3 linked regions of the Rhinolophus ferrumequinum genome follow. Each later gene encodes a partner of the first gene's protein in a complex. Links are inferred from orthologs where the notes say so. Each region holds a gene or a part of one and is shown in the gene's direction. Other genes may lie near its edges.

Region 1 (10,316 bases):
AGTGTCTACGGGTCATGTCTCATTGAGCGCCTGGCACGGCACGCACTGCTTTCTCATATGTTGTTGGAGCCTCCATCATCGTTTGAGGAAAGAGCCTGGCGCCGATATACTGAGGGGAGCTGGGAGCGCCTGGCAGGTGAGCATTTCGACGCCCGCTGTTACGTCTGTCTGGGGTTTAGGAGGCAGCAGTGTGTCCCGTTTCCCACGGCAGGGTGTGTGACATGGCCCCGCGAAGTGCTCACTCCCATCAGGACACTCACAAGTTGGCATGTCCTTCTGTGTGGGACAGCACGACACAGCTTACGAGGAGAAAGGTCATTTCCTGCTCCCGCCAAAGGTTCCACAAATGTGAAGTAACCTGGTACCTCAGGACTTCTTGAGCTAAAAGTGACTGCAATTTTTCACACCTGAAGTACCTGTATCTGCAATCTATTAGGTTGGTGCAAAAGTCATTGCGGTTTTTGCCATGATTTTTAACCCTGTAAACCGTAGTGACTTTTGCACCAATGTAATCGCATTGCCAAGGGGAGAAACCAGAGTGAAGAGAAGTCCAGTGGAATTCACAGCAGACCCAGCCTCACCTTCAGTTTTACTGTCTTCCTCCAAACACAGCTCCACAGCTTCCACTGCTCGGGGACTGGTGAAAATGAGCCCTCCATAATCTTCTGGATGAGACAGCTGCACACCAGACAACAACAAAGGCATTTATGTGATGGCTCAGCTCAACATTTCCCAGACTTCCAAATGCTCAGAGGCGTAGCAGGCCAACTGAGTCATGCCCCGCGTCCACTCGTCCATCCCTCCACGCATCCGCTCAGTACTGACTGAGAGCTGACCCAGTGCCTGCACCTACCCTAGGCCTTAGGAAAACAGATGAATCCGTTACTCCTGGCACTCCCTCAAGCAGCTCAGTCGAGGGGGACACAAGCAGGTGCAGAGAAGGGTGGTGGATGTAACCAGAGCAGAGGGGCAACGGGTCTCAGCCTGGGCGTGGGCAGGAGGGGAGACCTGACCTGCATGTGTGATAGAACTGGAATATTCAAGGGGTGCTATCCACGCTGAAGCCCTGATTTTCAAAGAAAATGACAGTGATAAGATCGACTGAGCGTTTGTTCTGAGCCAGGCGCTCGGCTGTTTCATACAGATCCCTTCCCTGAACCTGTCCAAGTTCCCTGTGAGATCGGGGAGGGGGTGGTGGGGGTTCTATGCTCTCCTCATAGCTTATGCACACAGGCTTGGAGAGGCTGAGGAACCAGCCCGAGGTGAGCCCGAGGTGAGCGTCCCCGGGGACCCCCAGGCCTGTGCTCACTGCACACCCGGGGGGCCTGATGGAGGGTTCAGAGAACCCCTTGTGGAGCAGGGTGGCTGGTGTTGAGGGACAGGCTCCTGATTTCAAGTGATGTGGCCTCGGTTCCCCTTTAAAGCTGCGTACAGAAGACCATGCCAACTCGGGCCCCTGTTACATCATTCCCTCAGCACACAGACCCAGGGCATGGGAACATGATAAATCCCAAGTCAATGTCTGTGGAATTGAAGGAAGAACTGATATTCAGCTCAACCGGAAAGAACAGGAAGCTTTTCAGAGCGTGAAGGGCACGGCTGTGAGGTGCAGAGCCCGAGGGTGAACCTGGTGGTAACGGGCCGTGGAGCCCGGTGAGCAGGGCCGGGCGCCCTGGTTCCATGAAAGCCACCTGGCTCCTGGCCCACGCGTCCAGAAAGGAGCTCCCGGGAGATGCCCTGGGGTGTCTGTGTGCGCAGCGGTGGGGTTGCCTGGGCACTGACTCTTCAGCCTGAAATACCTGACAGGCTTTGCTGGGATCGTCCCTCCCAGGCCTGGCAGCAGAGCTGATGCTGTGGGGACATGTCCTGGTCTCGAGTGCCGACACTGCCTCTTATTTGCTGGAGGCCTCCGCTCAGTTGCCCAGCCTGGGACCCCAATTTGCACTTTGCATAGGTCGGGGCGGGTGGGTTAAAGCAGAGGATGCGTGGGAAAGGTCTGAACTGCTGAGGACAGTGCAGCTCTGGTGCCCTCCCCACAACCTGCCCTCCTGGGCCTTCTCACAGAACCCAGTCCAAGCCAGGGCAGCTTTCTGGAAGAGCTGATGGAGGAGGCTCAGGCCGAGAAGCCAACAGCAGCCCAATCCTGACGCTAAGTGGGGCTGTGCTGCCCTGTTTTGAAGTTTGGTACTGAAATGAGGGGAAGTAACAAAGTCCTTTGGCTTGGGTTGGCACAGAGTCTCAGAAACTAAATGTATCACACTTAGAAGTTACGGTGCTCAGACAATGACAGACCTTACCTTCTCCGAGAAACTGGGAAGAGACAAAAACTCAAATGATAAAACAGGGATCAAAGTGGCTTCAAGTCCATATAATCCTAATTCCTGCAAATAAAAGAATATAGTTCTGGATTGGCCAGGGTGGTTTGGAAAATAAGGAAAGGGTGATGGTATCATATGAACAACTTATTCTGTGCCAATTCCTCGGTTTTAGCACCCTCCGCCCCCGCCCCCACTTCACTGGTAAGGCAGTGCTGCGCTTTCCGGGACCAGGAGTCTCGGGCACTCACCCTGATGTACGGATCCTGGCCACTGTCATCCTCCTTGGCGTCTTTCAGTAAAAGAACCTTCATTGTTGCCTGGCAGTCCTTACAGGGCGCTGTGACAGCAGGGAAACAGACCTTACTTAGATCGCAAAGTCTTCCTAGGCCAGGAGGCCAGGAGCACGGGGAAGGAGGTAATCGCTGCTGGCTGACATCACCTACCCCCTGCACACTGAGTCAGCAGCACTCATGGGCTTGTTCCTTCAGAAGACTCATCCCTGATAAGGCCGAGGAACAGCATGCTGGCACTTGATACCACTGGAAAGGCAGATGAAAGCCATTAGGCAAAGCCAATGTCCTAGTCAAACATTTAAGGCTCACAGAAGAGAAGTGAGGCAAATTCTGGGTTGTGTCAATAACAAATAGAGAAATGGGTGTCTCGTATTTTAAGGAAATAAATAATTACTTCCATTTCAAGTTATATAGGCTAAGTTACTCACAAGCTCTTTAGGAAATGATTATATTGACTTCTCAAACTACGTTTTATAAATGTTGTCAAGTATCATGAGACAAACTTTCAAAAATATGTTCTGACAATCTAGAAAACAATTTATCGGTATATATCAAAAGCCTTATCTACTTCATACCTTTTCTTCCTGTAATTTCATATCTAAGAATAAACACTAAGGCAATACTCATAAATATATGCAAAGATTAACATAAAGTTGCTCATCCTGGTATTCTATTTTTTTATTATTGAGATATAATTGACATACAATATTGTTTAAGACGTACAACGTGCAGATTTGATACTTACATATTACAATATGATTAATTAACACCTCTGTCATGTCCCCAAATTATCACTTCTTTTTATTGTTGTGAGAACAAGTAAGCTCTAATCTCTGAGCAACTTTGAAGTTTATACTACAGTATTGTTGACTATAATCACTATGCTGTGCATTAGATCCCCAGAATGTATTCATTACTAGTTGCAAGTTTGTATCCTGGTAGTCTTTGTAATTGTAAGTGATTGGAAACAATGTAAATGTCTAACAATGAGAATGGTTAAATAATTTATGGTACAGTTATATGAAATCATTCAAATAGTAATCATTTAATTAAATGGATTAGATCATCACAACATAATATTAAGTTAAAAAATCAGGATTCAGAGTTGCATAAATAGTATGATTTTATAGATTTTATACATAAACATATGAAAGAATAAGCTTCAAAATACTAATAGTAATTATTTCTGGTGGTAGGTTAGGGTGATGATTTTCTTCTTTACCTCTTTCTGTATTTCCAAGTTTTTCTTACAACAAACATTAAATTCCTTTGTATGGAGGAGAGAAAAGCACATTATAACCCCCCAGAGGCCTCAAAATAAATGCTGCCAAAGAACTGGAGAAAAAAGGGCAGATTATTATCCTGGACGTATCGTTAGACCTGCCAGCAAATTACCTAATAAACATAGTACAGCAATTGGTAATAGTCAAACAGGGTGTATTGCTCGGAGCAGAAATGTGTTACCTCTGGGAACCATTACTTATAAGCTATTACTGAAAATAGAGAGTGCCAAAAAATGTATACACACTTTAAGAAAGGAAAAAAAACTGTATTAAAATTGTAATAATAAATACCGGTAACAAAAGATGAATACAAGATATGTGTATACATTTTTTTTGGCACCACCGGTATTTCCAAAACATTATAATATCTATAGGACGTCTTAGGAAAATTTGGCTCAAAATGAATTGTTTTGTATCTAAGCAACCAAACCTGGGTGAACACATACTAATTATGAAATCAAGTTCCAATTATTGCTGCTGTCGTGCTGTTAGCTAGAGAGGTTGGGGATTTGGGAAAGCGGGCAGCATAATTTCTCTCCTTTCCTGAAGTTACTGAGACTGTGTCTCAAACAGAAATTAGGAATCTACCTTTTCGTGATGGTGAGTCTTATGTGTCAACCTGGCGAGGCTAGAGTCCTCACTCATTCTCAAATGCTAATCGAAATAAGTGTTGCTTGGAAGGTATTTTGGAGATATGGTAAAGGGCACCATCAGTTGACTTTTAGTAAAACAGATTAATTTAGATAATCTGGATGGGGCTGATTCAGTCAGGGAAAAGGCCTTAAGAGCAGAACTGAGGCTTCCAGCGGAAGAAGCAATTCCTCCTGTGGACACAGCTTCAGCTCATGCCCGAGTCCTGCCCTCTCCTTGGACTGCACTATGGATTTCAGACCTGCCCCCAGAGTTGCATTAAGTCTCCTAATATATATATCCCCTACTGGTTCTGTTTCTCTGGTTGAACCCTGACTATGCATCTTCCAATTTGGGGGTTCCAGAAATCTGCTATGTCATTGAGTAGCAGGTAAAACTTGGCATTTTCGGCTAACGCGTAATTCTTTCCAGGGCACAAAGAAAGCAACTATTGTGGGATTAAACAGTGGAAGCTTATTGCTGTTGGAAGCGGGGAATCTTCTGGCCACAAATCTCTTCTCGGCCCTCCCATGACCCCGCCATGGTTCTAGGTTCTGAAATACAGATCCCACAGTTTTCAAAAGGATATGTTAGTAATGCTCTCAAATACCAGGGCCGATCTCTCACCGAGGTGTTTCTAAATAGTGCTCAGCAGTGACACCTAGTCTCCCTCAGGGTGTGCATTCCTTACTGGGGGTGGGGGACAAGTTCAAGTACTACCCAGTGCTAGGAGGTCATGTGGTAGAGGGAACTGGGGTGCCGATAATTAGTTACTTCCCAGGGGCACCTCTCTGGGAAGGTGACATCTGAATGACAATGGCAGTGAGGAGAGTTAAAGGAGGTGACATCAGAGTTCCGATCTGAGTGACAAGAGCCATCAGGAGAAATGTTCAAGTGTCAGAAAGGGTCCCTGGTGTCCCCAGGAAAGACGGGTATGCTGGGCTTGAGTGCAAGGGACAAGGTGACTTTGGGTTCCACGAGAAATAGTAATTCTCTGAAAGGTTTAAGTCGAGAGAGGCAGCGATGGGACTTACGCTTCAGAAACACCCCGGCCTCTGTGGCGAGGAAGGCCATCGCAGTAGGTTGGGCGGCGGCGGTGGTTTTGGGGGTTTAGCAGTGGCGAGGTTAACTACTAATGTTACCACTAACGTTAACTACTAATGTAATTCTGGGTGAAATCACCTGTCCACAGCCAGGTTTGTAATGGTTGGGAGCAGGATGAAAATAAGGACCTCTCGTCTTTGAATCCCACCATGTCTTCGTCGGTACCGAGGGCGGTGACACCTACCTCGCCGGCCTGGTGAGGCCCGAAAGGTCTAGGAGCCCGGGCCGTGCCCAGTCCGGCGGGCGCGGGCCCTGGTCAGTCCCCCGGAGGCGCGGTATCTCGCGATGCCAACCAGGAGGCTTTGAGGATGCGGGAGTGATTAGCAGGGCGGGGGGCGGCACCCTCACCACGTGGCCTGCACTACCATGGCGACGACCTGCGCGTGGACTGCGGGCACCGACACCGCAACCCCGGGTCGTGGAACCCGCCCTGCGCACAGCTGGTGATCGCGCATGCGCTTCGACATCCAGGCCCGGGGCGGGGGGGGGGGGGACGCCACCGAGATGGGTCGAACCACACTGCGCGAAGGGGAGGGAGAGTCTTGGAGGAGGAAAGGAAAGATGGAGGGAGGAAGAAAAGGCCAAGATAGGACTCCAAGATGGACTTGACTCTGAAGGATCGCGGTCGTGGAATTCAGCAGGGGCCCTGGCCTTGTCGCCGATTCAGCGCCGAGGCCTTGTGTGATCTCTCACCCCCTCGGGCTGTGTGGATGAGTCCGGAAGGGCAGGCGTCGGGACGTGGCGCAGGCGCAGTGAGGCCGGAAACATGGCGTCCAGGCCCAAGCGGCGCGCTGTGGGCAGTGGAGCTTCGCGGCCGCTAGACTCCCGGGTCCCGCGGCCTGAGGAGGAAGCGGAAGATGAAGTCGAGGACGAGGACGAAGACGGTGAAGACAGTGACGAAGACGAGGATGAGGACGACGAGGTCGTCGACGAGGTGAGAAGCACACGCAGCCCCAGTGTGGTTTGTATCCGGGGAAGAGCTTTCTGAGCGCCCAGGGCGTGTGAACGTGTGCGCTGCTTGGAGTCCTGACTTCGCGGTCAGTACCTGAGGGTCTGTAACCTGAATTTTGAGATGGTAAGAGGTGGTTAGTCAAGTTGCACTGCTGTCTCTTCCACCCTGCAGCCACAGAATTTGTTTTGAAACGCCCCACGCCAGCCAGGTCGGCCCCGGCCCCATGCCTCCCCCGCCCAGAGAAGAGCAGCACAGCGCTTGTCCCGTGACTTTCCCCAGTTCCCGGGCGGAAGCCCCAAGCCCACAGCAGGCTGCCCAGGGCTGCAGGGTTTATCGTCCTCTGCCCACCCCGCAGCCCCAACGCCTGGTTGGCGGCGCCTGCCTCCCGCGCAGCGGCTGCCTTTCCGGTTCTTGAGACCTGCTCCCGTCTTCCAGGAGCCTTTCCCAATGCTCTTCATCCTGCGTGTTTTCCCTTCCCTGTTCGGGGCTCAACCAAGCTGTCTCGTCTCTGCCTGCGGGTGGGGGTGACGGGTAAGCTGCCCTCCCCATCTCACCAAGTCCCGGGGGTACGTTCTCGTGGAACCGGGTTCCTTAGAACAGCTCCTGCCATAGCATTGTGGGCACGTAATATTTATTGAGTAAGTAGGACTAAGTGATCCTTACAACCACTGAATGGCTAACAGGTACCTCAAATTGAACACCTCCAAAGCACAATTTGTAATGTGTGCCCTGGCTCCTGCTCTTTGCCATTTCTGTAAATGGTTCCCAAATTCACCAGTTGCTCAAACCCGTAACCCGAAACTTAAATTTAATTCCTTTTATTTATCCCATATCCCGCTCGTCAGTAAATCCTGTTACCTTCCTTTTCGGTATCCAGATGTTTTTCATCGTCGGTTCTACAACCCTCATAATGCACACCTCCATCGTCTCTTGCCTGCGGTACTGTAGTTGTGTTAAACTGGCGCACCTGCCTCCGTTCTTACTCCTCTACAATCTGTACCCCATCCACAGCCAGAGAGATCTTTTAAACACGTATGTCTGTCCTCACTCCCCTGCACTGAACGCTCCAGTGACTTCCCATTGCATTTGTAAGAAAATTCGAAATCTTCATGGTTGAGGGACAGCAAGTCAGTCAGTGTGGCTGGATCAGAATAAACAGGAAAGAGAGAGGGGAAATAAAGTCAGAGATCAGCGTGAGTCAGAATGGCCGTGGAGGGGGATACAGAGTAGCATGGATGCAGGGCCGAGCCTGGCCTGGGCCTGTGACACATCCGCCCGTGAACAGAGTCCCCTCACAAAGCAGCTCTGTACTGCGGCCCCTCATCTGGCACTTGGGCTCACCAGTTTTCAATTAAAAGAACTTGAACCGTTGATTTTGTTATTTTTGAATTATGGAAATCAGTGCTTTTTGCATTAACATGGCTAACCTGTCAAACTGCCAAGAGTTAAAAATCTGTGTAATAACTATCACTGCTGATCGTGTAAGAAAGTAGGCACTTACATACACTGTTGGTGGGAGTGTAAATTGTGCGATCTCTTTGGAGAGCAGTTTGACAATATCCATCGAATTTTACAGTGAATACATCCCCTGACTCAGTAATTCTACTTTAATAATAGTAATTCATGATGTTCCAGGCTCTGTGCACTTTGTATTGACTCATTTAATGTTTACTTCAACTATACGAGGTTAGTAATTAACCATTTTACTACCAAAGATACAGAGCAGGTTAAATGAAAACAGGATGTGTAGTGAACCCTGTGTGAGAGAAAGAAGAAACAAAATATGTTTGATTGTATGTGTCGAAAACTTATTGAAAGGATAATTTACTATTGACAGTAATCTCTGGAGAGTGGGGGCGTGGGAAAATAAGACTTTGAACTCTCTAACCTCTACACTCTTTGTAGTGTTTACCACTGACGTATTACTTTTTTGACTGAAGAAATTGTTAAGGTTTTTAGGGCAGTTAGTAGATACTGATTCCTTTATTTATTTGAAGGAGGCTTTTATTTTCTGAGATGGTCACTCATCCACATTTCATTTCCCTGATGTAGAAATCTGTCAGAATTGTTTTTGAAATTCAAAATCTGCCCAGATCTGTTTTGAGACAAGATATAACTAACGAAGGAAATGTGCAGTTTTTTATATTTTTTTAAAGCTCTAAAGAGCCTGATTTTGAAGGACAGGGTGACCGGCTTTGAAACAGCTGGCTGAGCAGCAACAGAAAGAGAATTCCAAGAAACAGGTGGGGATAGTGAGAAGGAGAAGAATTGGACAAGGCATGTTTCGATAAGGTTCCTTTTGGTCATGTGGTTAGGACTTTTGTTTGTGCTGAATAGAAACCTTGGAGGATACTTCAGCAGAAAGGGGAATTTGTGGTAAGGGTGTAAGGGCATCTTGGAGACTTCCAAGGGCAGGAGAGCCGCTGGGCCTCCGGAATGGACTGGGTCCTGGAGCCTGGAATGCTGTAGAGAAACCGAGATGTCCTTCACAGTTGTCATCTCTGCTACATTCAGAATATTTGGTTTTCTTTCTATTTCCACTCTGTATAGCAGAAAATAGAAAATACCAACAGCTTCTGAGACTTTTTTCAAAACAGCAAGCAGGCTAGATGCCACATTTAGTCTTAATTCTAAACTAAGTCACTTGGGGGTGAGTGGCAGGGCTCTGTTTTACAAAGATGACTGTTGCCCTGAAACCATATGGGTGGGGGCCCATACCAAGGGAAAGGGGTGCTGGGCAGATAATCCATTTGGTGTGTGTTGCAATGGCAGTGCCATAATGGCCTGAGACAGGTCTGCGGCTTCTGTCTAGATAAGGGAAAGAATAGTAGAAGAGCTTTATTTCAGAATTTATTTCTTTTTAAGGAGTAATTCCAGACATGAATTGTGACAGTTGGTTGTTTGCTTTGGTTTGACCCTGTTTGGAGCACCCCCACCCAACTCCCAGGGTTTTGCTGTTCACGTGATCTGGCTGAGCCTCCTTCAGAGAGCCAGGATTTGAAGTCCGTAAACTGGCCTTGATATCCAGGCCTTGGCAAGTTAACAGCCAAGGAACGCTTAGATATATGCACATCAGGATGGCAAGGCAAAAGGAGGTCTCATTTTCCTCTATGGCCCCCTTCAGCTAAGGCCCAGATTGCAGAGCCTGCGAAATTTGAAGTGTGTGTAAATACACTTTTTCCTCAGAGCCCCACGTTTGGTGTGTCACTTACCAAGGTTTGACTTAGGATCCTCAAGGGCTGATCTTGTGTAGCGTTTGAAAGCTTCTCAGCTCTTGTTAGTGGAGAGAAGCGATCCATTCATTTATTATGGGATATGTCAGTGGCATCACCTCTTAGATTCTGTCGTCGTTTTGCCAACACAGATCAGGGAGCCTGGCTACACACACCTTTTAGTTCCTGTACTAACTGTATTTCCTCTGACCTCAGGGCCTTGGTACGCGCTGTTCCTATGCCAGGAGCTCTTGTCTGCAGTTCCCAGCTCAAATGTCACTCCTCTAAGGGAAGTCTTCCTTTGCTATCTGACCTCCTATTTCGCAAGCTGTTATAACACGTGCACCTGTGTTTTATAGCTCACATAGTTGCAGCTTCATATTTAGTTGAATATTTCCTTAATGTCTACATTTCCACCTAAACCATAAGCTCCATGGGGGCAGGATTATTCACGCCTGCTTTGCTCGCTCACCTTTTCATCTCGAGTGCCGAGCACAGTGCTTGGTGCATGGTACTTAGGAAAG
Region 2 (10,377 bases), on another chromosome or scaffold:
GAAAGCTCATATAAAAGAAATCAATTATCAGTGACCAACAAATGTATCAACATAAACACAAAGTAAGTATTGGCTGAAAAAATATCAGAATGAGCTGGATATACCCATAGAACATGGCCTTTTTTTCTCACAAGGTATATAAACATTTTTGGCCAAATTTCTTTTAGAAAAGAGGAATAATGCATTATATTCCCTCCTTGAACCCTTCTCAAAACTTTACAAGCACCATAAGTAAACATCAACATTTTCTTCAAAGAAGTTAAACATTCTTCCAGTGCAAACATGCAGAAGGAAAAACTCATAATACAAATATTTGGGGAAAAGGAATTTACTTATTTACATTTGGTAGTTTTTGAAACTATACATGTATTTCTAATTTACATTTTGTACGTCTCTTTTGTTTGGAGTAAGCAAAAGAGTCTGGTCCATGGGACTTGTAACATTGATTAAAACGGCAAGCATTTCACTAAGATGTCAAAAACAGGAAGAACTTCTGGCATAATCAGCACTGATAGTAGCAAAAAAAAAATACTGGCAAGTCTTTCTGATGAAGAACTCTATTAAAGTACAATCTATATCGAGTTTGATTTTAAGAGTGATGATATAGGTCTGTCTACCATATTTTTGTAGCTTGCATATTGAATTTCCTAAGTTCACTGATCTGACAGTGAATAGAATTATTTTTATGTGGTCATAGACTTCAAATAAATATTCTTAAAAATAACATCTTAGGAATTTACACTTACAAGATACTTAATGTTAGAGTAGCGATGCTTTTATACGATGTTCATAGGTGAGAATGCAGCCTACACAAATAACCCTCTGTATAGCTAGAGGATCCTGTCAAACTGAACTATTTATTACTGATTGTTCAACTCCACTCATATAGATGTAACATTAAACAGTGGGGTCAAGAGAGAAAGCGTGCTAGCCCATAATTGAGAGCAACTGAGTCTAACTTTAACTTTTCCATAATTAGTTATATAAACTTGGGGAAAATCACCTAGCCTTTCTTCATCTCTCTAAAATTAGGACTGCACATTGATCAGAATAATTTTGAAGATAAAATAAGATAATATAGAATAAAAAGGATTGAAAAGTTTAAAACTATAAAAGTTAACCTTAATTGCTAATAACCATACAAGTAATAAGAAGTTGGACTGCTATTTCCAAACTAACCTAGAAGTTATATAATTTAGGATGTTTCTGGCCTTCGATAAATCCTGAATAAATATTTGTTATTTCCCTGAAGAAGCATGGGGAAAGTCACTTCACAAGCACCATGTCCCTGTGAAAACAGGTACAGTAGTCTCCCCTTATCCACGGGGGATATGTTCCAAGACTCCTAGCAGATATCTAAAACCACAGATAGTAATGAACCCTATATACTGTTTTTTCCTGTACATACGTCTTCTCTTTGGCATATTTGAATTGCCAGTATCAGTACTCTTGCGTTTAGGGGCCACTATTAAGTAAAATAAGGGTTACTAACAGCAGTTTTCTATGCACTTCTCTTTTTCTCTCCTTCTGGGTATGAGCTTGGGGGAATCATTTCATATTTGCTTCCTTATCTTCTAAAACCATTTTTGAGAAGATAGGAAGCAGACAAAGCAAAATGGGAAAGGTAGTGCCACCGTTAAATGCACTTGGGGCAGTCTCCAAGCCTCACACTCCTTCAGCGTCAGTGGGGTTTCTTGGAAGCTCTCTGTAAGGCTGGTAGCTTCCTAGCTCTCTACTATTTTAGAGACAGATCGTTCATGGCTAGGGAAGAAACTCCCATAAACCCAGTTAGCTTACTGTGCATTCTGGCCCTCAATGGTTGTTTCAGGATAAAACACCTTGGTCTTCAATGTTGTGTCCGATCTGAACATTCAGAACCTGGAAAAAAAAGGAGCAGGGTGCAGTTCCAGTTCAGTTTTAAGTGTAAAAGGAAAGTGAGAAGACAGACTCAAGAATGAAAAAGGGACTAGGAGGGCAGCCACGTGCTCTAAATCAAGGCTCTTTTCCTTCTGTAGGTTACTTAACCTTTCTCTGCCTTATTTTCCTTATCTGGACAATGGGAATGTAACATGTAAAGCTCTGATATTTGAAGAAAGTTGAAAAGAAATAATGTATATAAAATACTGAGCCTGGCACATCATAACAAACTAAATAATGGTAACCAATTTAAAGGCTAAAATTGAATTTCTTATTGTGCTAAGTCTGGACTGATTGGATTGTTACTATACGTTTTAAATCAAAATCAAGTAATTATAAGTGTTTTTTTAAATTCTCAAAAATGTATGTAAAGTTTCCTTTTAAGAATTTCAGGTAGAGACTCATAGCATCATACTGCCATAGATTTTTTTTCCCCTTTTAAATAGGGAAAAGTAAATTATTTACCAAATAGGTTCAGAAGCTAAAGCCGGGGGGAAAAAATGCAAGTCTGCACCTAAATTTAATCTGTGCTGAGCAATTTCTTGGCTGTGAATGTGTTTGGAAAGTATAAGCTTTCTCATGTGATAATTATTTTGGTTAGCTAGAAGAAAACTAAATGCTTAAAATTGCAAAATTTGCAATTTCATGTAAGGATGAACATTTTTTTCCTCCAGAATGTAAATATGTCAGTTTGAAGACAGGGAGAAGAAGGACAAAGAATAACAGATGCTTTCATTCAACAATTTTATTGAGTGGCCACTATGAATCGTGCACACATGAATCCAGTCAAAGCATCAAGGCACTGCCAAGAGTAAGATAACCCAGATGTCCTAGTGCAAGAGTTGGTAGGTTCTGGATTATGGAGATTTTGAAGGATGCTGTGAGGGGAGATCCTGGTTGGGGAGTAGGGAATGCTTTGCTAAAGGGTTAAGGAAGTGTCAGTCACAAGCTCTGGTAGCTTGGGAGGAGGGTCTTGCCCCACTGCTGCTAGAACTTATCTTTTCCCCACAACAGGGTCTGACGAATAGCAGGCCCTCCATGTGTGCCTCATGTGCTACTTCAGCCTCTCAGCTATGTGCTCCATTCCTGGGAGGGTCCCTAAGAGCAGCCCGGCAGAGAAGAGCAGCCTCTCTTTGAGAGAGGGTCCCAACCTAGAGAACTGCAGTGGCTCTCATCAGTATAGTGCAAAATATGGTTGAGCCCTTGTGTCAGGATCACATGCGCAACTTGCTAAAATGATTTCTTTAGCCCCACAGAACAAAATCCTGAGCGTACATGAAGCATCGGTGCTCACTAGCTGACTCTTCTGTTTTTTTTTGTTTTGTTTTTTTTTGACGAAGAGTTAAAATCAAGTACAAAATAGTGGTAGTGGGGTTAAACTTTATTTTTTCAGCTCAGTGTACCTAATATATGATCTACCTCTTTGGCCTTGTTTTAAGGGGCAGAATTTATATTGGCCTTTGAAAGAAACATTTTTAACAGGCCTCCTCTTTTTCTTTCAAATCTGTTTGCTATTTGTACTTGTCTTGCCTTCCAGTGAGAAGGTACTGGTAACAGACATCCCATTCCTGAAAATGATGGCTACACAGCACTCACAGCCAAACGAGTTGGGTTTAAGGCCTGACTCCAGCACTTATTAGCCATGAAACTTGGGCGAATCGCTTCACGTCTAGGTTCTTCTATTTTCAAATCCCTATGCCATAGATTACCTTCTCCTTGAAGAGTAAATACGGTTTTATGTCTAAAGAGCTAAGCAGAGTATGGCCTAGAAGTGCTCAATAAATTCCTCGAACTCCCACAAACCTTATCCAAATGCACTACTGATCTCATTTTTTACCGTGGTGGTTTATACATCTTCAAACATTCTCGAATTCTCTTATACTCTTCCCTTGGTTGATAATGCCTTTCTCCTTCCTCAGCTATCCAAGGAAAGTTCACTTTTCAAGATTCTACCCAAATAACCTCTCTCTCTCTTCTGGTCTTCTCTCCCAGTTCCCCCAATCCTAGTTAGCCCACCACTCCTTCTCTCATGACACATATACAGTTGAACCATAATTATGGACTTGCCTGTCATGCCCACGAGATTCTGTGAAACATAGTCATTCTTAAATCCTCAGCACTCAGCCTGGTGCCTGGCAGGTCATAGGTGGTCAAACCATAGATACACATATATGTAATTTTGCTGAATGCCTGGATAGAATGAATGGATTTAAGCGTAGATGGTTGGACGGGAATACGTGTGTGCTTTTGGAGAGGCGATGGCCTATGAGAACTGTGTGGTTTCTCTTGGCTTCCGCCGTTTCCAGATCGCCCACATTGCTGAAGGGTAATGGCTACCTTCTAAGGTCCCGCCGGTTTCTCTGCTTTGGGACACAGCTCTGCAGGGCACCGGCAGGGGGCGGCGTTGTCACACTGCTGGATGTTCCGCGGGTGACCGTCCCCTCCCCGGACCCCACCAGGCGCGCAGCTTTGGTGACCAGGCCCGGGCTCCCCCAGTTTAGAGGGGGCGGTCTGTTCTCCCTTCCAGGCTGGGCGGCTGGGGTGGCGCAGGGCCACGCGAGGAAGTTTCCAGCTTCCCGGCGCTCTCCCCTTCCACCCCACCTTAGCCTCACGGACCCTCTACGTAGAAGAAAGTTCCTCCTAGTTCGGGAAAGGCAGCGAGCGGCCAGAAGAAAGGGTGGGCAGAGGGCGAGCTTTCTAGCAAAGATGGTGGTGCGAGTACGGGTGGGGATAATCTTTACACTCCTTTCGCACCGCCGAAGCTCGGGGAGAAACTCTTTTATCCTGTAAACACGCACCGTGACTAGCAAACTAGCTCATTCCCACTGACATTTGTTTTCACTTGAAAAAGGCAAACCTCAGCGCGGTATTCCTACCGCGCTTTGCCTCCTGCGGTTCTCAGTAACAGTCGCGCTGCGAAGTGTCGGGCTCCGCGCAGGAGCCCTTTGCGCGCCCCAAAGGCCGCGCGCTACCCGCGCCGGGCGCTCTGGGCCCGCCCCCGGCCTCGGCCTTTGGCCGGTGGCCACCCGGCCGCCACAGCCGCCCGGGAGTCCGCTCAGTGACGCGCGCCGGCCAGGGCTCTGTTCCGGCCTCCCGGAGCCGCTCGTGCGCAGAAGTCGGACCCACGCTCGCGGCCCCGCCCTCGCGTCTCCTCAAGCTCGCCCTGAGCTTCCAGGCGCTTCCCGACGTTTCCAGAATCGAAACCCAAGGCGCGAGCCCCTCCTCTCAGGCGCAGCGACCGCTTTGAATGGACAAGTGGACTCATGAATTCACCCAGAGACCGGGTTTATTAATGAAGTAAACCGTCTAGCTATACAGTACATGGTGTTTAACAGGGAAGTCGTGAAGAACCTCTGGAGCCCCATCATCTGTAAGAACCCACCACATCTGGCGAGAATTTTATGTTTGGGAAGTTTCTGTAGTTGCGAGGTTTTAGTTATGTTCCAGTTTTGAGGACCACTTAGGACCCGTGAGACATTTTTGTCTCCTCCGTTGGGGAAAAAAAAACACGCATGGGCGAGGGGGCTGTATGTAAGAGAGATATATGTATAAATACACGCACGTAATATACGCGCACAAGTACTGCCACTGGCCTGGGGCTCTGAAAACCGCTTGGCTGGGCCCCGGGGGCTCAGCGCGCGGGCAGCTCCGCGCTCCGTCCGCCGGCGGGCAGGGGCGGCGCCCTATGCAGATGAGGAGGGTGTGGCGAACGCGCTGCGCCAGGGCCCCGGAAGCGCGGAGAGGCCCGGTATAAAAAAAGTACTGAAGACGTTTCCCTCGCATAAGTGCTAAAGCTCCAGAGACCGGAGCGTGTGCGGCGGCGGCAACAGTAGTAGGAGCCGCCACCTCTAGGACCACCGCAGCTGAGACGGCAGCAGCGCGGGCGGGGGCGAGAGGCGGGAGTGGCCAGCTCAGGCGGCTGGGGTCTGGGAAGGACTAAGTCGCTCGCCGCTGCCTGGAGCGCAGTCGCAGCTCCTGGAAGTGTTGCCCCTTCGCGGTTCCTCGCTCGCTGCGCTCCTAGAAGGGGCGGCCGTCTCCAGGTGACACAGACGGGACTCCCGCTTGCGCTTTCCAGATGCATCAGAGATACTTTTGGTGCGGGGCTGCTCTGCGGGGCGCGGTGCGCGCGGCTGGGGACAGGAGGGGCTGGGGAGGAAGAGTCTCAGAGGAGTCAGTCCCCAAGTCGGTCAGGGAGCGAACCGGGGAGGGGGCGCGCTCTTTCCTCTACGGGCTCCTGTTCGCAGCCAGGCGTCCTCACCTAGCTTCTTCTCCCCTCTTTTTTTTTTTTCCTTTCTTCTTTTAGGACCGACCAGGGCCAAGTGGCATTCGGCGGGCACTTCATGGCGGAAGGCGAGGGGTACTTTGCCATGGTCGAGGACGAGCTGGCCGGCGGCCCCTACATCCCCCTGGGCGGCGACTTTAGCGGCGGCGAAGTCGTCGTCAGCGGCGGTTTCGGCGGGCATTGCTTGGACTATTGCGAAAGCTCCACGGCGCACTGCAACGTGCTGAACTGGGAGCAAGTGCAGCGGCTGGACGGCATCCTGAGCGAGATCATCCCGATCCACGGGCGCGGCAACTTCCCCACGCTCGAGCTGCAGCCGAGCCTGATCGTGAAGGTGGTGCGGCGACGGCTGGCGGAGAAGTGCATCGGCGTCCGCGACGTGCGCCTCAACGGCTCGGCCGCCAGCCATGTCCTGCACCAGGACAGCGGCCTGGGCTACAAGGACCTGGACCTCATCTTCTGCGCCGACCTGCGCGGGGAAGAGGAGTTTCAGACTGTGAAGGACGTCGTGCTGGACTGCCTGTTGGACTTCTTACCCGAAGGGGTGAACAAAGAGAAGATCACACCACTCACGCTCAAGGTAAAGCCCCCCGACTTGGGCTGGGGTCCGCACCCGGGCTGGGCTGGGGTGCGGCGGGCCGAGGGAAAGGGGTTTTCAGAGGGACTTGTGTTTGATGCCACAGATCTGCGGCCGTGACAGCTTTGGGCGCGCTTATTTACTTTGCTTTTGATTTAAAAAAGAAAAATGAGTCAAGTAAGGTGCGTGGAACAGTGTTGAGCGTTGTACTTGACTTGGTGCTTCAGCGCCACAATTCTTCTGCTTCCTCCTCTGCCCTCCCTCCTCTTCCTTCTCCTTATTTTTTAACTCTTGGCTTTCCTTGCTTGAGCCTTGTTCAGAGTAGATTCTAAGTGGAAGAATGAAATGATGTAAATCATTTTTTGAGTCATTTTATGATGTAGCCTTTGAGAAAATAGCAGCCTGAAGCAGAACCAAGTCAGTGAGCTTATTGTATTGGAAAATGTGAATAGGTTTCCTAGCTGCATTTAGCTGACTCTGTGTGTTTAGGATAAATGTGGTGCTTCTCCGGGTTGGTTCATTTGTTAAGGTATAGTGGGTCCCCCCTCCCTACTTTGGTTCAAAGCGCGTTTTATATGTTTAGTTAAAATTGTCTGAGGAATCAGCCTCCCAGAATGTCCTAATATAGTTCATTTTGATTGTAACTGCTGAGTACCCCTAGAAGGACAGACAAGATACTGATCACATCTGTTGCCTCAGGGGGAGAAGAACTGGGTGACTAGAGACAAGGATGAGAGGCAGACTAACTTTTCACTGTATCCTCTTCTGTCTTTTGATTATTGTGTGGATATTGTGTGAATGTTGTACCTGTAAGACCATTTTCAAAAAATAACACTTCAAAAGTCAGACAAGACAACAGAACCTCTCAGTCCTGTGCTACATCTGCCAAAAGCCTCAAATTATTACTTCTAGTCTCCTTCCCAGACTGTAAAACCACTCGTTAAATGTATTTTTTTTTCTGTTTTCGGAAGACTATTTAAGCCTGTAGGTAGTGTTTTGCTGAAACTTGACAAAACAAAAGGGAAGGAGCAAAATGAATCTCATCTGTGAAGACGTATTTATTTATGATCTTTTCTAGGTATGCTTATCTTCTTGTTTTATCTTTTGAATTGTAGGAAGCTTATGTGCAGAAAATGGTTAAAGTGTGCAATGACTCTGACCGCTGGAGTCTTATATCCCTGTCAAACAACAGTGGCAAAAATGTGGAACTGAAATTTGTGGATTCCCTCCGGAGGCAGTTTGAATTTAGTGTAGATTCTTTTCAAATCAAATTAGACTCTCTTCTCCTCTTTTACGAATGTTCAGAGAACCCAATGACTGAAACATTTCACCCCACGATAATCGGTGAGAGCGTCTATGGTGATTTCCACGAAGCCTTTGATCACCTTTGTAACAAGATCATTGCCACCAGGAACCCAGAGGAAATCAGAGGGGGAGGCTTGCTTAAGTACTGCAACCTCTTAGTGAGGGGCTTTAGGCCTGCCTCTGATGAGATCAAGACCCTTCAGAGGTATATGTGTTCCAGGTTTTTCATCGACTTCTCAGACATTGGAGAACAGCAGAGAAAACTGGAGTCCTATTTACAGAACCACTTCGTGGGGTTGGAAGACCGCAAGTATGACTATCTCATGACCCTTCATGGAGTGGTAAATGAGAGTACAGTGTGCCTGATGGGACATGAAAGAAGACAGACTTTAAACCTTATCACAATGCTGGCTATCCGGGTGCTAGCTGACCAAAATGTCATCCCTAATGTGGCCAATGTCACTTGCTATTACCAACCGGCCCCCTATGTAGCAGATGCCAACTTTAGCAATTACTACATTGCACAAGTCCAGCCAGTATTCACATGCCAGCAACAGACATACTCCACTTGGCTACCCTGCAATTAAGAATTATTTTAAAATGTCCTGTGGGGAAGCCATTTCAGACAAGAAAGGGGGGGAGGGAAGGCTGAATGACCCAGCCCTGATTAGGGACGTGTTTTGTGCAATGATGATCTGCTCCTGGTTTTAAGCTTGGCAAAGCTTGTGGATCCTTTCATAGGTATGGGAGCGTGATCTCCAAATGATCCCCACCCACCAGCAACCTACCCACCCGGTCCTCCTATCCAATTGGATTCTATCCTGAAACAAAAGAGACCTGTCATTCAAAGCAAACAGGTTCTCCTAAAATAACATGGGAAAAAAATGCTTGATGACAATATGGGTTTGCAGTACCTTGCTCCCATAGCTTTGCCGTAAGAAAGAAAAGTGAAGTTTCTCATAAGATGGAATTCACAAAAGGGAAAATAGAAAGGATAAAAGGTTTCCCCTCAACTTAATTATCAAATCAGAAATTCATATAGTAACAACACAAGAAGAAGGGGAACTCCGACATTGGGTTTACTACCTGAGGCTTGTAGCAAGTACTTTCTGTTAAATTATTCTATTGTGCTAACAGAAACGGCTTGCTCTAAATGAACAGTAGTAGGTTGGTGCAGTTTTCATAACAAACAGCAGAACTATGATGACACAATCCATTATTTCCAGCTGCATGCATAGCTCGCATTTTTAAAATGTGAAAATGCAAGCAAAAACAGCTGTAGCAAAGAAAGTAATGCTCAAGGACCAAAGATTTAACAGATAAAAATACCCAAGTAGAAGAGATATAGTAGAATATATAAAGAGTTACTATATTTGTTACACGCCAATATACATCAAAGTGCCTGTTGCCTTTTGAAAATTTGGAGTGGAAAACTTTTAAGGTTTAATGATTATTTTATTTTATCAGGGACTAAAGAAGAAAATAAAACAACACATAAGCTTGTGAATGGTGGAGGAAATGCCCTATTTTTTCTTGGCAAATACTTGTATAAAGTTAACATTGTTGGTGTGACATTATCATAGATACATATGTATGTGTATGTATATTATGTGTGTATATATTCATATTTGTGACGAATATATACACACAAAACATTGACTATGGTCTAGAATAATGTAGCAAATAGGAAATGTTTAAATACTGTGTTTTTATGTTTTCAACAGGATGACCTGAGATGTGGGCATATTGCATTGATGAATTAAAACCCACATCTAAAAATATTAAAGCAAATGAAGGAGGAAAACAAGTAATATATTTGATAGGAAGAGCAGAAATTATACATTTTTAGTGAGTGTTTTTCCTTTTTATGTGAGCCATAGAATTCCACAAATGGGAGAATATTTGTTTGGCAGAGCACTCTTTTTTTTATACTGAAGTGCCATTTTGACAGTTTGAACCCTTTTATTTTTTTGTAATACTTGCATGCTTCCATGGTGTATAATCCAGTGGATCATTGATCAGTGATAGTCTATTTAAATCCCTGACTGCTAAAAATAACTTCTGGTGATCTGAACACTACTTATTAATATTTAAATAAATTTTTTAATGAATGCATTCTGCATTACAGGACCACTAGAATTTAGTAAATGTGAAATGACCCTTTTTAAAGAGTATTTGCACAATTGCCTAAAATTTATATATGAGATATATATTATATATAAAATTTTATAAATTCATGCCAATATGAAACATCTCTAATCTGGTTGTCACACTGCATTTAAATATTTAGTACTGT
Region 3 (10,191 bases), on another chromosome or scaffold:
GGAGAATCCCCTACCTGAACAGGCACAGCCCACTTCCTGGAGTTAGAGCTGAAAATATCAGAAACTCTGTTTCTGAGCCTTCTCCGTCACCATGGCTTGGGCACGCAATCTGAGCTCTGCCGATCAGATGCCCCCACCCAGATTTTGAATGAGAAGCTACGCTGAGGGCAAGACGCAGGGATATAAAGACTGATTAGCAGTGGGTGGCAGCAAGGGTGGTGGTGCCAACTACGTCCAGCTCCCAGGGGCAGTGGAGGAACAGGGTGAGTTCCTGGTCTTGTCCCTGGACCTCCAGGATGATTTTTTAAAGCCTCGTTCCTGGTAGCAGAGCCACGTGGCCAAGTTCTCCAGCCATCCTGCTGATTCTGTGGGCTACCTGACATCTCTGAAAGAAATTCTGTTTTGCTGAAGTCATTCAGAGTCATTTTTGATTACTTACAACTTAAAATCTGGACCAGTATAAGGACTGGAAGACCAACATTTGAACATTGAGAAGCACACCTGGTGGGCGAGGTAGCCATCCTAGCAGGGGGGCGTCCGTGTCCTCTGGCAAGCTGTGTGGTAGTGGCGACGTCCCTTCTCCCAGCAGGCACGGACTCCCATGGTGAAAGTTTCAGGCAGTATGGCAGCTGGCGAGAGAGACATCCAAGGCCTAAAGGTGAGGCAGGTTCAGAATGGATCCAGGGGTCCGACTTGAGATGAAATGATCCGTTAACAGTTTACACTTTCACGGAATCCCTTTTCCCTGAAGGGAGATTTGAAAACAATAATCCTCAGATAAGAAATCTGGGGCCCCAGAAGTGAAGGTCGTCACAGCACGGTGTTGAGAACTCACCCTCCTCTGCTCTCATCCGACTTGCTTGGCAAGCTGTCCTGACCGTGAAGTGAAAAAGGGCCCAAGGTTGGCAAGGAGAGGACTCTTGTGAACGGGGCCCAGTGTTGGCACATGGCTTCACTCCCTCGTTTGGTCAGCACACACCTCCGTGAAGCAGCGAGCCTAACGTTCATTCCCATTTTGGGAGTAGGAAGCAGAGACGCAGAGAGGGGAAGCCAGTTGACAGGGATACAAGCCATCTGACTCAACCCTACCTTTTTTCTCCGGGCACTGTTAGGGTGGTGGGTATGAAGCGAGTCCAGAGACGGCACTCAGAGGGATGAGTCAGCACCCTCGTCTTGGGCACCTATCCTCTTTTCTCTTTCTGGACCCCTGTCTTACTGCCTGCCTGCTGCCCTGGTCCTCCAGTGTCCCCACTGCTGTGCTATACCTGAGCCTGCTGCCATAGCTGTGCCCAAGGACGCAGCCTGCTCCCTCTGCCCTGCCCCCTCAGGTCTGACCAGTCAGTCCTCCTGTGCTTTGTTCCAAATAAAATGTACACCTTACCTAGTTCTTACTCCAAACCTAGTTCTCTTTCTGTTACACCCAAAAAAATAGTGGCTTGAAGAAGCCTGAGAAGAGATGGGTTTCCCGGCGGGAGTTCTAGGTGGAAGGGGGAAAGCCAGGTCACACTTAGGCCCACACCAGAGTCTTGCCACGATGTAGACCGCGGCGCAAATAGGTCCACAAGTGCTAGAGCGCTTCTTCATTTCTCAGTCTGGGTGCTCCTGACAAAGTGCTGTTTAATTTTTGAAAATTCATTGAGTTGTGCTCGTGTGGTTCTGTGCACTTCTCTCTAAGCCAACATAGAGCAATAAAAAAAAACCACTTTGCTTAAAAATCATTTTAAGAAAGATAAGATATTAGAGCAGGGCATTCCAATAACGCTTATCATGGTGATCCACCTTGAGATAAAGTAATACAAAAACTCCAGACTGAAGAAACTGATAAATGAAGATAACCGGGCACGACACAAAAGATTTTTTTTCTTGCCTTACAAAAAGGATTAATGATAGAATTTCTTTGCTTGCCTGGGCATTTAAAATAAGATTCTCTTGAGACATAAAACGTTTTCAGGGTCATGACCACAAGTGAGGCACACTTGCATTATTTCTTCCCTTTGCTTTCTTTTCCTCCGCTCTCCTAGGTGCACACCAACGACTCACTTAGAATGCAAAGGTCTTTAAACCATTTTGATTGGATGTGCTCCAGCAGAGGCCAGAATTTGGCAAGAAAGTGGCTCCGGTAATTTCGGAAGGACAGATTCACTACGTGGGTCTATATCCAGTGGGCAGTAGCTGGTGACTTCCTGAGAAGCCTTCCAGCTCCAGGGTGCCACAGTTTTATGAGGTAGAAAGAACACTGTGTTTAAAAAAACAAAACAAAATAAAACAAAAACAATGGAAACAAAATGCTAGAAAAGTCAAGGCATGCTCCAGAAATTAAAAAGGGGCCCAAGGAAACATATATACACCTATATGAATAATGAATTTGTCTTCTGGGCTTTGGATCTCCTCTCCTCCCTACCACAGAATTGCATCGTGGTCGGGAAGTTGGACAAAATCTTACCTAAGCAAAGGTAGAACCAAACCATGCTAGATCAAATTCTAGGTAAGAATTTCTGACCCGTGTTCGACCCTGAGGCTCCCTGTGCTAATGGTGTCCATGAGATACTGAAAAAGTAGAAATGTGTAATGTAATAATTTTGCATTAATTTGAATGTGATCACGCATCCTGGATTTTTAGGGACACTCTGGATTTTAAGTAACCAATCACTTTGTTTTCTTAACTGAATTTTTCAGTTCAACAAATATTCATTCATTCAGCAAAACTACTCGCCAGGGGTGCCGAGCTAATTGGATAGCCAGATGGGAAAAATGAATTTTGACCCCAAACTGCACAAAAAATTAATTTGAGATGAATCACAGACCTCCGTGTAAAGGCTGAAACAATCAAAATGCTAGAAGAAAACAAAATAGGTAACCTCTATGGCCTTGGGCTGGGCAAAGAGGTCTTAAACATAAAAATCACTAGTCATAGAAATAAGATTAATAAATTAGACTTTAAAATTAAGAACTCCTGTTCCTCAAAAGATAACAATAGAAGAATGAAAAGAAAGCCACAGATTGGGAGAAGACATTTGTAATACTTATATTGGACAAAGGACTCACATCCAGAATATATAAAGATCTCTTATAGATCAGTAAGACAGACAACTGCCTACAAATGGGCAGAAGAGTTCAACAGACACTTCACTAAAAGGGTCTCAAAATGGCCAATAAGCATATGAAAAGTTTCTCAACATTATTGATTATCAGAGAAATTTAAATCACAGTGAAATACACACCCCCTTTTTTAGAATAAAAAGACTGACAATATTAACACAGGATTAAAATGTGGGACAACCGGAAATCTCATACCACTGCTGGAATATAAACTGTCACACCACTTTGGAAAACTGTTTGGCAGTCTATTGAAAGCTTCAAGGATCCTGCAGTTCTAATCCTGCGTATAAACCCAACAAACACGAATGCTTATGTCCACCAAAAGACACATACAAGAATGTTTGTAGGCCAGAGGGATGAAGGTTCAGTTATGTGGGATGAGTAAGTTCTGGACATCTAATGTACAGCTGGTGATTATAATAACACTGTATTATATACTTAAGCATTCTCACCCATCCCCCACACACACGGTGTGTGAGGTGGTGGACAGATATGTTAATTAACTTACTTTGTGATTTTATATATATATATATATATATATATACACAATATCATGTAGTACACTTTAAATATATACAATTTTTATTTGTCAAGTATACATCAATAAAACTGGAAAAAAAGATTATTTGTAAGCAGTTTCATTCATGACAGGCAAAAACTTGATGCAAACCAAACATCCACCAGTAGAAAGAGTACATAAATTATTGAATATACAGAGGGTGCCAAGAAAACGTATACACATTTTAAGAAAGGACTAAAGTATTAAAATTGTAATACTCGTTCTATACCGATAACAAGAGATGAATATAAGTCACGTTCGACCTTTGCAAGTAGAAGAGGTGCTCAAAGAGGTTACCATCAGCATCCAGACACTTCTGATTACGGCCAACTACTGCTTGAGCAACACTGACCAAAGTGTCCACTTGTATACATTTTTTTGGCACCCCCAGTGTAATGCAATAATTCACAGCATTGGAAAAGAATGAACCATTGTTCTACGCAACAACATGGACGGATTTCATAGACATGCTATTGAGGGAAAGAAGCCAGACGCAAAAGTGCACATCCTATGTAATTCATCCATATCAAGTTCAAACACTGGTACAGCTAACGTGTGGTGATAGAGGTCAGAATGGTGGTCACCCTTGTGGGACACTGAGTGGGAAGGCACACGAGGAAGCTGGAGACTCTATGACTCGATCTGGGAGGCAGTCACATGGGTGTACACATATGCAGAAATTCATCCCGTATACGTAAGATTTGTGCCCTTTACTGAATTTATACCTCAAAAACAAAAATTGAAAACAGTATATCCTGATTTCATGTCCCACAATGGAGTCACTGTGGCTTTTCCTACCAGCACTCATAGGGATCTCCTATCTCAATGTTCCAGGAGACCTCCCTCTCCCCAGGGAAGCATATATTTGAGAACTCTTTATATCCTGGCAGACACTGAAACCACACTTAGTTCAAGCAGGAATGGGAGGGGCGGGGTAGGGAAATACTGCACCTGGGAAACTTTTCCCCTACCATCCCGTAGAGGAGCAGTACAAGCTCAAGAAGTGTTTCTTGATAAATAAGTTACAGTTTGATATAAATAACATTTACCACGCACCTTTTATCAGGCACTAATAGCTTTCCATTTTCTTATTTAATACTTCTATAACCCTGTAAGGCTGTTCCATTTTTAGTCCCATCCTACAGGTGAGGAGATGGATATTTACGGAGGGTTGATTAAGTTACTTGCCCAAGGCCTTACAGATAGGGAGTGAATGCAGATCCCAACCCAGGTTATCTGAATTTAGAACCTGGACTCTAAACCACTTGGTATGGAACGAACGGGTGGTGCCCAGGCCCCGCCTGGATGTTACATAACACACACGCCTGAGCCCTGTGACTTTCCGAGTAGGGCTGAAGCTGTCGCCTGTTGCCAGGCATGGCGATGGATTCCTCGAGGCCCTTAGTCCCACTAACTGCACACAGGTGGTTAACTCCCGGCCAGAGTACCAACTGCGTGGGCCCTTTGCCCCAATGACCTCCAGCCAATTTGCTTGGGGAATCAAGAAAGTTCCTCGGCTCAGAAACCAGTTTTTTCCGATTTCAAAACACACACCGGAGGTAGGCGTGGGGGTTTCACTCTCCAGTCCTGGAGAGAACTAACCAGAAACTTCCCAGACAAGCAGAAGAAAAACAAGCCTACGGGGAAGCTGGACAGAGATGGGAAAAGTTACGGGGCAGGAACGGCAGAAAAGGGCATGGGGTAAAGTATAAAGTAAGGGAGGCCCGCTAACTCCGAAGTTAAGGGGGTGCCGACCCACCCCCTCCCTGTTGCGCCTGCGCGGTGCTACCTCCTGTGGCACCCCCGCCCCTTCCTGACGCCGAAGATTTACTCGTCTCTCGGCAACCATTCACCCGAGGAGCCAATCAGAGGGCACCTCTCGCCGGACCCTGGCCGTCAGCGCCCAGGCGGAGGGATCCCGTGGGCGCTGGCTCCTCCCCTGCCCTCCCGGCCCCGGGAGGCAGGCTCAGGGGCGGGGGCCCGGGAGGTGGCGGCGGGTGGAGGCGTGTCTGCGGGTATAAGAACGAAGGGGGCGGCGGCAGGCCGGCTCACTCAGTGCCGCTGCCTGGGGGCTGCAGTGACCGCGCCGCGCCAGCTGAGGCTGCCCACGCCAAAGACCTGCCGCTGTCGTCTCCTTTTCCGCCACCCAGGTGAGTCCAGGGCCCCCTCTCGCACAGGTGCGAGGATTCGGCGGCCCCAGGGAACCACGTACCCTGCCCTCGGGGGTCTGTCCCAGGCGAGCTGAGCTCAGGTCCTAGCCGAGCCCGATGGGGACGCGGGGGCGGGCGGGGAGGGGGGGGACAGGTGCCGGGACCCGGTCCTCCCTTCCCCTGCAGCTCCCGCGACGACAGCTCCCCCCCCACTCCCTGCCCCCGTGGGCCCGAAGGCGCTCCGAGAGGGAGCTGCAACTTTCCAGAGACTTCGGCCGGGGTTTGGCAAACTTCAGCGAGTTCCTGTTCCGCGCGTTCCCGGGGCGGCGGGGCGGCCGAAGAGTGCGTGATGGGGACATTGGGCTCCTGCCAGGTGTCCGCCGGCGCCCGGCTCCCCTCCCTTCCCTGCGGTCGCTCGGGCTCGCACCTGCGCTCCCACCCGCACTCCCAGCCTGGCCGGCCCGCGAATTCGATGCGGCGGTTCCGGGAGGCGCAGCGGTGGGGGGCTGGTATCAGGACCGGGAGGAGAGGGCGCTTCCCAGGCTGGGTGCTAGGGCCGGGGTTTTGAGGAGAGGGCAGAGATCCCTCACTTTTCTTGGACTCGCCCCAGACGGGGGACACCGCGAGCAGCCAAGTGATCCAAGCGAGTGGCTTGTGCGCTGCGCTTCTCTCGGCAGCTTCTCGGGAATACGGTGTCTGCGACCTGGTCCCTCCCCTTTGAGAAATGAAACTTGTTTACCGGGTAGACGCAAAGCCATGACAGTCAGTTGACTGGGCTAGCGGTGCCGTGGGTGGCTCGGAGGCGCCGCGGCCCCGGGAGGTGTCGCAGCCCAGATCCCTAAGGTGGGACAAGAGTCGGAGGAGGGCACAAATTGATAGCCTGGACACCTAAACACAACGCCGGCGGGCGATAAAAAACAAACTGCGCTTCCTCCAAGTTAGGGGGGTTCTTCGGAGAAACGCCTGGCGAGTTTTTCTGGAGAAGGAGAGTTGACCCATGCTCACTAGAACCGGCTGTTCGGGCTGGACCCCGAGGGAGGGATCAGCTGAGTCCCCTTCCCCTCTCCTGTGGGTCCAGAGCTCGGCTTTCTGCAAGGGCTGCCCAAATCCTTAACTAGGGACCTGCTGCCTTTTTAACTTGTTTTTTTTTTTTTTTTTAAAGGAGTTATCACATACAAACCACTAACTGAGCGCTTAAAGTGCACCTACTCCTGTAAGGGTTTATGAAGACTATGTAATCATTTGTATTGTGGCAGTTGGTATTCGGGATATTTGGTAGGTGGGTCAGGAACCTGAACCTCCCCAGGAAATGAAGTTAAGACGATTAAATCCTCCTGAAGTAGACTCCTGGCTTGGCCCAGCTGCCCTCCAAGACCGGAATGAGAGGGGCCATTGTTGGTTACACTAACCATTCAACGTGTGTGATTTGGCAAGGAAGCAAGGTGAGGGTGGTAGGAGTCCTTACCAAGAATTCTGCTGAGTCTTAAATCCCCAGAAGTAGTATTGGCAGGGCGAGAGCCGCACCTGAGACCCTGCCGGTTTCCAGGGGGTGGGGTGGGGACTGGAGAACGCTGACTTTTCTCTTCGCTTTCAGGGAAGCAGGCTGAGCTGTTCCAGCAGGAAATCTGTCCTTTGCTGTTGTTGTTTGTGAAGATGGAAAACTTACTATCTTTGGAGTGAAGCTTTTACTTGAGATAACTGAAACTTTATGTCTTCAGGTATACTCGTATCTTTAGAATACATTTATTCTCAATAAGGAGTTTTTAGAAAGAAGGTTTGGGTGTATGTTGTATAGAATTGGTTCAGGTAGCTGTGGGGAGAGTCCCAGAATATCCTTTTTCTCTGCCAGGTTCCTAAGTCGTTACCCAAAACAGAGGTCCCTGATTGATTTAGTTGAGCTCCCGAGGCTCCCCCTATTTAATTCCTCTGCTCTCCTCTGAGTACAGAGGAGCAGGGCCCAAGCCCATCCTGACTTGTAGAAGCTCTCGCCTGGCATCTCCTGAGAGCACCCCTCTCAGCCTCCATCCCCAGCCTTCAAGGCTGGAGCAGATTGTGCTCCAGGGTACAGAGAGGTCCTCCTGCTTTTGAAAGTTCAGGGAACTGCCTGGCAATAAAGATAATCTGAGCGGGGACTGTAGTGCCCTTGTTCTCCCGGTGCCAGTAACCAGACACACTGGATACAAATTGAGAAAATGACCTTTGTGTAACTGCCCAAGTAAGTAGTACCTGGTTTTCATCTTTGATGTATTGTGTGCAAGGGGTCAGTTAAGAATGACAATCCAAAGCCCTGAGAGGAGGCGGTAAACCTTTCTTTGTGTTACCGAGAGAAGTTGGGGAAGCCAAGACTGGTTTTGTGAGTTAAACTTGGGCCGTCTTTGGGTTTCTTGGTCTCATACTGGACTGTATCTGTTGCTTTGTAGGGGTGTGTGTGTGAAGGGCAGGTAGTGCAGAGTCTGAGGTGTTACTTGGGAGAAAACATTACTCCTCTGGTTGGATGAGGTTCATTGTTTTGTGTGTGCATGGTCACAGGTGAACAAGGCAATACAGAAAAGTACGTTCTGCCAGCTTGGTGTTTTGCCTGGGGCACGTTAGATTGGCATAAGCTATATTATGGGGGAGCAGGCACCTCTGTATTTAAAGAGGTGTTCAAGCCACTTGGGTACATCACGGGTGTTGATCTCTTGAGATGCTTCCAGGACTTCTGGGCTCAGACTTTTTTATCCTTCCACGACTCGCATGATTCGGAAGCTTCTATTTGGAATTTAAATGGTGTAGTGGAAACATCTTTGTATAACCCAGCTATGTAAGAAATAGCCTTAGGAGTTGTTTAAAATGAATAGATTTTGTACAGCCGGACCCCATAGCCTGTGCTAGCCTTGTTTGCAGAACTTCTTGGGACAACGGGAGAAAACTAATAAAAAACAATTGCTGAAGTTCAGCAACTCTGTGTGTCGGCTGTTTGCAGGGTGTTTTCAGTCTTGGAGCCTTTGGGGGTCTTGGTCACTAAACTGCCTAGAGTGTTTCTTAGGTAAGTGATGGAGCTGGTAGGTGGTTCAGTGCTTCCTAGGTGGCTTTGTGCTGAGGAGAAAAGGGGGTGGTGTGTGCAAAGGCCTGTCGGCATGGTCTGGAGGTGGCTCAGCCTCCCACTGTCCTTCAGGCTCTCAGCTTTCTCTTGCCCATCTTAGCCACCGGCATGTGAGCCCCAGGAAGGCAGGGATCTGTGCTCACTGTGGAGCCCCCGGCACCGAGAGCAGGGCCAGCCGCGCAGAAGGTGCTCCTGGTAACTGGATACCTGATTGCTGGCATCCGCCTGCCATCCCTCTCAAAGAGGGGGGCTGCTTTAAATAGGTGTCTTCCTGGTGGGCCAGGGGGCTGGAGCCTTTTGGAGCAAAAGCTCCTAGCCTGCAATGCAGGGTGGCTTCTGGGCCTTTCTCTAAATGGGGGCCTCCGGGGTGTAGGTTGGGAGCTGAGGGCCAGTTGCCACCAATTGGCCAGCAGCTGAAACCCCTTAAGCTGTTGACCTGCTTCCTGCAAGTGCCTCCTATGCTGTCCATCCCCCCAACACCCGCCTCGCAGGGCTCGCTCAGCCTCTCTCTCTCACCACATGCTCGCAGCGGTGGCCAGTTCTGCTGATTCTCTGTCTTTTTAATTTTTTGTTTCCCATGCCATCACTGACCTGGTTAGGGCCCTACAGACAGCAACTCGATGAGAGCAGTAACCAGCTCCTGTCCCCGCCCCTGGCCAATCCTAGTCCTCAGGGCCTGGAACACCAGCGTCACAACTCAGGGGAACTGCCCAACCCCCCAGAGGCTGAGCGTCTTAGCAGGACCTGTAGCTTTCTGACCTACTGTTTATTCTTGACGTCTTGTGGAGGAGTCTTCCCAACTGCCCTGCTGTGCCTCACAGCACACCTACTCAAATATTTGAACAAATTAATGCCATTCCTTCCGTACCATGCTTCAATCCATTTTCGGTCCCTTCTCAGGGGCTTGTGATCGTACCCCGTCTGGGGACCCCCATATCCCGTTCCCTGCCTCTTCAGTACTTCTGTATAGTTCTGCCTTATTTTCTAGGTTGTTGTTTGTTTTTTTTTTTTTTTCAAATTTTGTCTTCAATTGGATGAGCACAGAAAGTCCCCTAGCTGTCTCCACGTTAGCTCCCTATAAACACTTTTTGAGAAGACAGTTTTCCACGAATCGTCCACTGTTCTACCCCTTCTTGTCGCCATGAGCTTTTCTGACCGTGCTTAGCCCTTAGGAAGATGGGAGAGGGGCAGCCCTGCACCTCCCCTGGCTGGCCACCCCGTACTCCCAAACACATCCTGTGTGTTTGTCCCTCACCTGTGCTTACGGTAGTGAAGCGGTGGGCATTAGGACCACGGTA

The links.
Region 2: the proteins of BCCIP (region 1) and TENT5A are in contact, whole or in part, in a crystal structure (PDB 8EXE), measured with the Homo sapiens proteins. The link is inferred for Rhinolophus ferrumequinum from reciprocal best matches to the Homo sapiens genes BCCIP and TENT5A. Residues at the interface, in NP_510868.1 of Homo sapiens: Val57, Asn58, Ile59, Glu60, Phe61, Glu62, Ala63, Tyr64, Ser65, Leu66, Gln146, Val149, Leu150, Phe152, Cys153, Glu154, Lys155, Asn156, Cys157, Glu158, Lys159, Glu163, Lys167, Leu203, Ala204, Ala206, Thr225; in NP_060103.2 of Homo sapiens: Arg87, Gly88, Asp139, Glu151, Gln155, Lys158, Lys184, Glu185, Val188, Gln189, Lys190, Met191, Val192, Lys193, Val194, Cys195, Asn196, Asp199, Trp201, Asn213, Arg289, Lys295, Glu331, Arg334, Gln341, Asn342, His343.
Region 3: the proteins of BCCIP (region 1) and TENT5C are in contact, whole or in part, in a cryo-EM structure (PDB 8EQB), measured with the Homo sapiens proteins. The link is inferred for Rhinolophus ferrumequinum from reciprocal best matches to the Homo sapiens genes BCCIP and TENT5C. Residues at the interface, in NP_510868.1 of Homo sapiens: Val57, Asn58, Ile59, Glu60, Phe61, Glu62, Ala63, Tyr64, Ser65, Arg136, Gln146, Cys153, Lys155, Ala204, Gly205; in NP_060179.2 of Homo sapiens: Asp90, Asp92, Glu102, Gln106, Arg109, Lys135, Glu136, Val139, Gln140, Lys141, Leu142, Val143, Lys144, Val145, Cys146, Thr147, Asn164.

The regions. Positions count from the first base shown.
Region 1 is NC_046299.1:5,345,918-5,356,233, reverse strand, and holds the start of BCCIP (BRCA2 and CDKN1A-interacting protein), read left to right. Parts: upstream 1-6,239; 5' UTR 6,240-6,394; coding exon 6,395-6,562; intron 6,563-10,316. Other genes in the region: UROS (uroporphyrinogen-III synthase), read right to left, coding at 582-678, 2,298-2,381, 2,567-2,629. UniProt on the Homo sapiens protein: During interphase, required for microtubule organizing and anchoring activities. During mitosis, required for the organization and stabilization of the spindle pole.
Region 2 is NC_046286.1:40,704,753-40,715,129, reverse strand, and holds the start of TENT5A (terminal nucleotidyltransferase 5A), read left to right. Parts: upstream 1-5,719; 5' UTR 5,720-5,992; coding exon 5,993-6,012; intron 6,013-6,220; coding exon 6,221-6,779; intron 6,780-7,891; coding exon 7,892-8,668; 3' UTR 8,669-10,377.
Region 3 is NC_046305.1:47,527,392-47,537,582, forward strand, and holds the start of TENT5C (terminal nucleotidyltransferase 5C), read left to right. Parts: upstream 1-5,656; 5' UTR 5,657-5,808; intron 5,809-10,191. UniProt on the Homo sapiens protein: Catalyzes the transfer of one adenosine molecule from an ATP to an mRNA poly(A) tail bearing a 3'-OH terminal group and enhances mRNA stability and gene expression.